2 linked regions of the Drosophila melanogaster genome follow. The protein of the gene in region 2 interacts with the protein of the main gene of each other region in a pairwise test. Each region holds a gene or a part of one and is shown on either strand. Other genes may lie near its edges.

What was found. Proteins that work in one complex are often made in the same cells at the same time.
Region 1: the proteins of Helz (region 2) and CG10154 interact in a two-hybrid assay, tested with the Drosophila melanogaster proteins (one large-scale study listed by BioGRID).

The regions. Positions count from the first base shown.
Region 1 is NT_037436.4:13,435,180-13,439,023, forward strand, and holds CG10154 (uncharacterized protein), read right to left. Parts: upstream 1,958-3,844; 5' UTR 1,918-1,957; coding exon 1,917-1,917; intron 1,853-1,916; coding exon 1,613-1,852; intron 1,527-1,612; coding exon 1,042-1,526; intron 900-1,041; coding exon 675-899; 3' UTR 501-674; downstream 1-500. Other genes in the region: CG10725 (uncharacterized protein), read left to right, coding at 2,807-2,807, 2,866-3,012, 3,071-3,507, 3,572-3,796.
Region 2 is NT_037436.4:14,788,048-14,792,967, reverse strand, and holds the start of Helz (helicase with zinc finger), read right to left. Parts: upstream 3,034-4,920; 5' UTR 2,896-3,033; intron 2,418-2,895; exon of another isoform or gene 2,364-2,417; intron 1,532-2,363; exon of another isoform or gene 1,418-1,531; intron 1,098-1,417; 5' UTR 1,008-1,097; intron 941-1,007; 5' UTR 838-940; coding exon 508-837; intron 308-507; coding exon 1-307. Other genes in the region: Tdrd3 (tudor domain containing 3), read right to left, coding at 3,380-3,649, 3,755-4,920.

The DNA.
Region 1 (3,844 bases), 1.4 Mb from region 2:
TTGTGTGTTGGACGATGGGTGATTCGCCTGCGATTCGAACGGCGCAAGGACTCGCAGCCAACTGAATGTGTGAATGCAGCTGGGCCAGCGTCGCGCTCGTTTTCACTTTCATGAGTTTCGCAGAGCGCTCTTTCACTTCCCACCGCCCCCACGGATGGTTTTCCTCTTTTTCCTTTTTGCCAACAGACAGCGTTTTGTTTTTGCTTTCTGTATATGTGGCCGTGCCACTCGGTGGGCGAGCGGGTGGTTGGCGTTTGCAACCAGAAGAGCATGAATGGGGTGCTCTGTGGAGCACTCTTTCTCTCTTTTTTGGAAAATAAACACTGTGGCTGCACAGCACATGCGCCGTTTACAAAACACCATTGTGAACGGGCCATCCAATTCAAATTGTAACGTTTTGTAGCAAACATTTTATTGGTAAATTAATTGAATTTATTTTTTTCCATTTCTTACTAGTGGAACTTTCTTGGGATGATAAGAGAGTCTTACACCAAATGATTGGTCCCTTTAATAAATCTTTAAAATAACGACACTAAAAATGTTATGTGCTCTTTTAAAAAACATTTCAGAATAAACAATTTGTATCACTTCTTACATTCACAAAATCTCTTATCATTTCATAAAATCGAAAATCAAAAGCAACAGGTTGTAATTATTTATTTATGAAAACTCAGTTAGACACCAACGAATTCAGGTCTGCGGCAATCCTCCACTTTGGGATCGTAGTAAAGACCCGGAGTGCAGTCTAGTGTGACTCCACGTCCTTCGACGCAGTAATAATATGCATCTCGGCGAGATTTGTGTGGGAAGAAGTGAGTTCCCATAAGGGGACACTTAATGTCAGCACGACGCAGAGGGGTTCGGGAATATGGCAGAATATTCCTGGCTACAGCATCAATCTAGAGATATTTAGGTATAAATAAATAAATTATTAAATTACTCCAGAAGCAGTATAAAATGTACTTTAAACCAATCCAAAACAATCAATTTAAAAATATATATTTGAAATGAAAAAAATCCACTTTCACTTTTTCTACTCACCGTGCAGTTAACATTCTTGGCAAAGTCGCAGCACTTGCAGCTGGGATTGTAGGCCAAGCCAGGAGCACACTGCTGTTCCCACGGATGACCATTGGAACAGACGTAATACTTGCTGCATGATGCCTTACTACCCAGGTAGATGATGTCCTCTGGCTGGAAGGTGGCGGAACAGTCGTTGGCCACACAGTCCACATACTCGGGGAAGTCACAGCGATCCGTGGCGTTGTTGTACTGGAGTCCATCGTGGCATTGGCGTAGCACGGGTTTGCCGTAATAGCAAAGCACGTACTTGGTACAGGTGTTGTCGTAGCAGAAGCTGCTCAATCGGAACGACTCACAGGTGGGCAGACACTGTACCTCCTCCATGTAGGTGCACACTTGGAGAACAGGATCGTAGCCCAGCTCACACGACTTGTTCGGATCGCAAATATCTGGATTATCCTTTGCCAAATCCAAGCAGCTGCCTACTTCCTTAATAGTATTGTCTTAAATACATGGATAGTTTAATGTATTAAAAATATTTTTCATTTGCTTTAAAAACTTATGTGATGTTTTAGTGTATATAACTCACTTTCACACTCGATATATTTGGAGCAATTTCCAACATAGGGCAAATAAACGCCATCCGCCACATTGCCGCAGACATTTATCTGGGTGTTTTCGTACATATCGTAAATATCCTTATCCTGAACATTTAGGCCCTCACCATCGTCGTCTGGACCGGGAGCTACTACAAGATCTTCATCGGCCCGGTTCCGATGAACCATCAAAATGATGAATAGTAGTAGGAGCCCATTTAATAGCCACTTCACTTGGGAAATTACGATTTATTAGGTAAATGAACTATAGGGAATCCCATCGCATGAGCAACTTACTCCTGGATAGTTTGAACTGTGTGCCACAACTGTTTGCTATCAGGCCAGGAAATATTCATTTTATATCGACTCTCTTTCATCGCCTAATGAGTTTTTGCCAATTTACACTTATCAACCAGGTTATTTCGGCACACGACTCCTCTAGAGGAAAACTACGCCATTATTTCTGCAAACATTTCGACTTTCAATTTGTCACCACCAAACTTGGCGATAATAGTCATAGTCGAAATGTTTTAAATAGACTGGTTCCCAGAACCCGTGGATATCGATGAAAAGTGTTTTAATTTCCTTGCACGTGTGGTTTTTTTTTTTATCACTTTAGTGCACGAGTGGTTTAAACATTCAAAGTATTACTGCGCTAGCGATTAAGATATGAAAAGAAAAATAAATAAAATAAAAAATAATTTTATAGAATAATACATTCTATTTGGATTAACTAGGAGCATTTCCTTCCTGTACAACAAATATACATACATATATCTTGAAGAAAATCTTAAACCTAAACTACAACTTAATAATTTCTAGATCTTCAAAGTAATGGGGCTTCCTATCCAAATATTCCAAACACTTGTAACAATTACATCGGATCTTGAGCGATCCGTGGTTCGATGATCAACTGTGACTCATCAATACACGTGTTTCCTAATGGCTGACAGAGGTGTATGTTCCTGAATATTGGCTCTTGTTCACCGAACTTATCTCCGCCAGACGAATTTGAATGAGGAAGAACAATCCAATTACCACATGGAAACATGCATCCACATCCGATAAGATTGGAAATTTGCACGGAATCAAAACAAATCGCAGATTGAATGGCAAGTGAGTTTGCCTATAAATGGAGGGGTTTTTCGAGGTAAGACGATAGTAACCGCAGGAAACCAACCTTGAATAGTGAGTATGAATTGCAGCTATGGAACCGAAATGATCTAACTTGGTTTATTTTCCAAAGTGATAAGTCGCCTGACCCTTTTGGCACTGGTTGCCCTGCTTGGAAGCTGTAGCGCTGCTGATGGCGATGTCAATGTCTGCTCCAATGTGGTCAACAATCTCTTTGTTCCCCAGGTGGGCAACTGTAGCAAGTACTTCCTGTGCATGAGTAAGTCACCAGCACCTGTGGATATCTAGTTCACCGCATTATCATGTTTCTATCCCAGATGAGATAGCTGTACCCCGTGAATGCCCCACGGACTACTACTTCGATGCGAGGGATCAGGAGTGTGTTCCCCTGATGGAGGTCGAGTGTATTGGATCCTGTAAGAACCGTGGTTTGTCATCGTTCTGTTACGATCGCACGTGCACCAAGTACGTTCTCTGCTTCGACGGCACTCCGGTGATCCGTCAGTGCTCCGATGGACTGCAGTACAACGCCCTGACCGATCGCTGTGACTATCCGCAGTATGTCGACTGCGTGGACAATCTGTGCAGCCGGAATAATAATCCGGATGACATCGTTTTCATACCCAGCAAGGCTCGCTGTGACAAGTACTACATTTGCATGGATGGTCTTCCTCAAGTCCAGAACTGCACAAGTGGCCTGCAGTACAATCCAAGCACTCAGAGCTGCGATTTCCCCTCGAAAGTCAACTGCACGGTGCGTGTTTTTTTTTATCTGAAGTTTTCTGGGAGCCACATAAAAACCTATTCATTTCATTCAGGTGGAGAGCCTTCAACGGAATATCCTGCCCTTTGCCCGAGCTCCGCCACGTCTCGCCGACATTGAGTGTCCATCGGAGGGCGCCCACTTTATTGCCCACCAGAAGCGTCAGGATGCGTACTACTACTGCCTGAATGGACGTGGAGTCACCTTGGACTGCACACCCGGCCTGGTGTTCGATGCCAAGCGCGAGGAGTGCCGTGAACCACACCTCGTGGGCTTCTAGTTACTCGAAATAAAGATCCAATACGATTTCAAACAAACGAATGCCTTT
Region 2 (4,920 bases):
TCTGCTGCTGTTGTTGCTGCTGCTGTTGCTGCTGCTGCTCCCGCTTCTTCAAGCCCTTGTTGCTGAGCAGCTTGCTGTACTTGTCCAGCGGCAGGTTGTTGGTGGCCCAGTGATCCAGTTTGGTATCCAGTATAGCCATCTCGTCCTCGAGACGGGCGTGTGGGATCTTCAGGGCCTGCGCCTTGTGCTGCCCGTTCATGATCATCTGAATGATGGACTTGTACCGCTCAAGGGTTTTCGATATGTCCGAGTATATCTGCTGGCCGCTCAGCTCGTTGATCCACTTGCTCAGGAAGATTTCGGCATCCTGAAAGAAAGTTGGAAAAGGGTAATGATTGCATAGTTCCAGTAAATTTCAGTATGTTTGGCACATTGTTACAATCTCATACAAGGCTCATTGAATTTTAAACTTAAGTCTTGGTAAATCATATAAGCATGTGCAGTGAAATGAAAAACCTTAAAAACAAGAGCAGGGATAAGCTCTTGTAAACTCCGGATTATACGTACCCCGTACTTGTGCATCTTGAAAAGAGCGTGGACGAGCCATCGGCGTGCCCTGGACACGCTGGCCAGGCACTCTGTTTGCTCGGAGAGCAGCGTGAGCACCTTGTAGGCGTCCGCCAGACAACCCTCGAACTTTCCCAGCTCTAGGAGGCACTCGCATCGTCCCAGTAGGCAGGCGATCTGCTGGTCCTTCTGGGCCCTTGATCCTGCACTCTGGCCACCGCTTCCCTGGCCGGGACTGGGCGCAATCAGCTGGTCGTAGAGCGCCACAGCACGGGCCCAACTCCGTCGTCGGACCATGTCGTGGGCCTGCATCTCCTTCTCGGCGGCCATCGTTTACTGGCTGGTGTTTAGTGGCTCCTCCGGGTGGTCAGTCATGCATGTGTGAAGTTTTCAGGTCCTTGTCTTGATCGCTCGTCTAAGCTCTACGGTAATTCTGTGGGGATAGTTTAAAGTTGTATTCTTGTATTCTTGATCATTTTATTCAGTGAATTTATACTTACACAATTTAACAGTTTTTGTGTGGTTAATAATAAGAAATCGATTATCGTTTTTACATTAATGTTTTAGATACTTTGCGGGCATTATGTTTACTGTAAAGAAAGATGTTTGGTTTTAGTTTTTATTTTCATGTTCGTATGGCGGATATACGGCTTATTTATGTTTTTATTGTGAATTGGTTGAGTGTAATGTTTTTAGATTTGGTTATGTTATTAATGTTATGTTATATTATGTTATATTTTTGGTTTTATAGAGCACGTGTTGTTTTCTTTCGTATTTATGTTTTTAAGTAGTTATTTCTCATGTAGAGTTTACTTTCACTTAGTTATTTCAATAAAGCACATTTATTGTCTTTGGTTTATAATAGTACTATACATTAATGTATGTTGTAATCTTTAATGTTTATAATTACCGTTGTGTTCTTGAAATTTGCACACAATTTCACATCTTAAGTATTCTAGTCCTGAATTTTCCTATTGGCGATTTCACATTTTAGATTACTTTAAAGACCGGCTTGTTTGTACGGATAATTATTTGGATATTGAAGAATTGATTAAATCATCTTCGTTGACTGCCAGTAATGTTCGCTAAATCCAAAACAGAAATTGTTTATATCTCGCTTCTTATCGGTTCCCAAACAATTGTGTGTACTTAGTACAAATATACAGACGGATTTATAGAGTGCGCCTGCAACTAAGAATATATATGTATATATGTACATATGTATGATAAACAATCCAAAGTGCTGTGTCTTTATTTTTCGATTTACACAATTTTCATTCTAATTCGGTTACGCAAAATTTCATAAGAGCAATTTTCACACTCGCACCGGCACAAAAGGGGGACGGAAAACTCGGAGGAGGGTGGCATCTCGGGGGGAGGAGAATCCGGTGGAAAACACTTGCACAGAACGAGAAAATTCGCCAGCATAATTAAAAGTAATTTTCAAGTTGTTTCTTATTATTTTTCTGCTTTTTTTTTTGGTAGAGGTGCTTGCTCTCTTTTATTTTTCCTGCTACTTTTTTCGCTGCGTGTATGCGTGCGTTTTGTTGTTGTGCGGTTTTTATTTATATGCGACAATAAATGGGTATTATTTATCAGTAAATTGCGAGCGCAGTTGGCGATCAAATGCAAATTCCAGAAGTTTTGAGCGTAATGTTGATTTTTCTTGGCTTTTTTATATACATGGCCGGATTTTCTTTGCCTGACGTTGTCTTTTCAGTTGTTTGCAGGCTAAACAAAGGCACTTTTCACGAATTTTCCGATGTTAGTCTACGGTTTATGTGGCTGGTTATGGTTGAAGCGTATTTAATTGTAAATTTGCACCAAGCCCGAGAATCGAGAAGGATTTATTTTACCATTTTTCTTTTTACGTGCTGAAAACAGCAGACAGTCGCCAGTGTTGGCCAACTTCGCAAGGCACTCGCCGAGTATCGCATGTGGAAATGAATGGTGGGATCAATCATATTTTCCAGTATTTAAGAAGTGACACATGCAACACATTTAATGACGGGCAATAATAATTTAATTTCGTTTATTTTAATGCCATGTTAATTGCTCAATAAAATCGGCACAAAACATTGCACGAATATCGACAACCGTCGCTTTGCAACACCGCATGCGAACTTGACAACACTGGCGCATGTACTACACGATGATTTTGCCATCATATGAAAATATATGCGCACAATACATGCATATGACCGCATTGCACTTTTATCTGATTAGTCAGTTATTTATACGGCTCGTTAATCGTTTTGCATGCTCAGCAAGCAAAATTTACTGCGCTGAACCCTTTCCAGCGCGTTTATGGCAAGTCAGCCAGCCAGCTGTACACTTGCTGGCCAATTTGTGCGTACATTTCGGGCTTTTGCACTCTTTTTGCGTTACCTTTGCACTAAATCCTATTGTTTGTACACTACGGACTAATTCTATTTTACATGGTTAAGCACAAAACTATGAGAGAAAATGCACATCACGTCGAAAAATGTTAAAAATAAGTTATGTATGTATGAGGGAAAATTCGCGAAATGCACCAGTGCTGAGCAGCGGCGCGAAATAGTGCTGAACATGTCGCGCAGAAATCAGGGACAATCGATAGTACTGCGCCAGGAATTAATCGAATTCGAATAATGTTTACAAAGAAATGTTAATTACTAAATTATTAAATAAAACTTTGCTTAATTCAATTTTTCACGTTATAGGAGATATATTCACTTAATAGGTAAGACGTAATCAACAGTACGCTTTAAATTATATGAAAGTCAGCAGATTACAAAATACGTACTCATAGTTTTAATATTCTGTAAAGTTGTTTATTCGAAACATGTTAATTGATTTAAATACGTTGTTAACAGGCTGTTACCATGTTGTCTCAATGCTCTCGTTTGTGGGGCGGCACGTAGACTTGCTGCTGCTGCGTCTGACGATCTCCGCGGTAGCGTGAATGTTGCTGCTGCTGTAGATGCGGTTGCTGTTGCTGCAGATGCGGTTGCTGCTGCTGCGCTGAGTTGCTCAGTGGCCTGTTTTGGGCATCGGTGATGGGCAGGATGTCGACCTTCAATACCTCCTCATGGTTTCCATAGCCCATAAAGAAGACCACGCAAGTTTTCTCCGACACGCCCGTGATCTCAGCCTCATAATACTGGAAAATAAAGAAGGAATGATAAGTTAAGTTCAATAGATCAATTTGAATACTTTGTCCTACTACAATTACGAATGTACTTTCAGTTTATCGACCTAAACTCACCCTTCCATCGTCCCAATACTTGGCCATGCACAAGTCGCCCTTCTGCCACATCCACGCATCGCCTGGCACCATGCCGAACTGATCCCGTGGCGCAGCCTGTGGCACAGCCACTGGAGCAGGTTGCGCACGGGAAACAGGAGCGGAAACGGGGCCAAAGGACATGGGTGGCGATTCCTGCTGTTCCTCCTCCTGTTGTTTTTCGTTGGGCAGTGTAACACCCTGGCTCTTTAGAAGGTTCATGGCAAACTCGTTGGCCTCCTTGCTCTGGAAACCCATGATCTTGCTGGGATCGTAAGTGTAGCCATTCGCCAATTGACTGTAGTTCGCCTGCGAATTGTGCCTGGGATTGTGATGCTTTTGGTTGGTTTGAGCCTTCTCTGGCTTCTGCGAATGCAACTGTGCTGGCTGCTGCTGCTGCGTTGTTTCTGTGCCCGATCCCGCCAGGCGATTGGCTTGTCCTCCTTGCTTACGTCGATTCTCTCGCTTTGGCGCACTGCTCACCTTGAGATTAGCTGTTTCCTCGGTTATCTTACTCAAACGGGCGTTGAAATCATCGCCAGCACTATTTGTCGATTTCGCTGCAGAACTCGCCGAAGTTAAGCTTGCTGCCGGCTTGTTTCGTCTGTTGCCATTGGCGTTGCCGTTCTCTGCTCGATTGGAGCCTCCACGATTGCTGCCTCGTTCGCTGCCACGTCGGTTGCCAGTGTGGTCCTTCCCATTGGTTGTTTCATGATCTGGCTTAATCTCGGAATTCGGTTTCAACGATACGTTATCCGAGCCATTGCGATTTGCGGTTTTTACGGTTGGCGTTTCTGGTTTGTAACGTCCAGCTGCACGATCATTGAACGCTCCTCGCTCTCGCGGTGGTCTCTCCTCTTTCGGCGGTTTTTCTTCCCTCGGAGGCCTGTCTTCCCTGTAGGCTCGCTCCTCTCTTGGTGGCCTTTCGTCCCTGCCGCCACCCCGGTTACGGCCACCGCCTCGCGACGAACCCACATGTCCACCACGATGTGCGGCAAAGCTGCTCGATACGTTGTTCTCAAACCTAGAACGATCTGCAAACTTGCCGCCTCCGCCCATAGCTGAAGGTTTGCTCTCGGAATCGCTGAAGCGCGAGCTTCCATATTGCTTAAATGGATTGAAGTGATTGGTAGTGGGTGGGGCAGTCG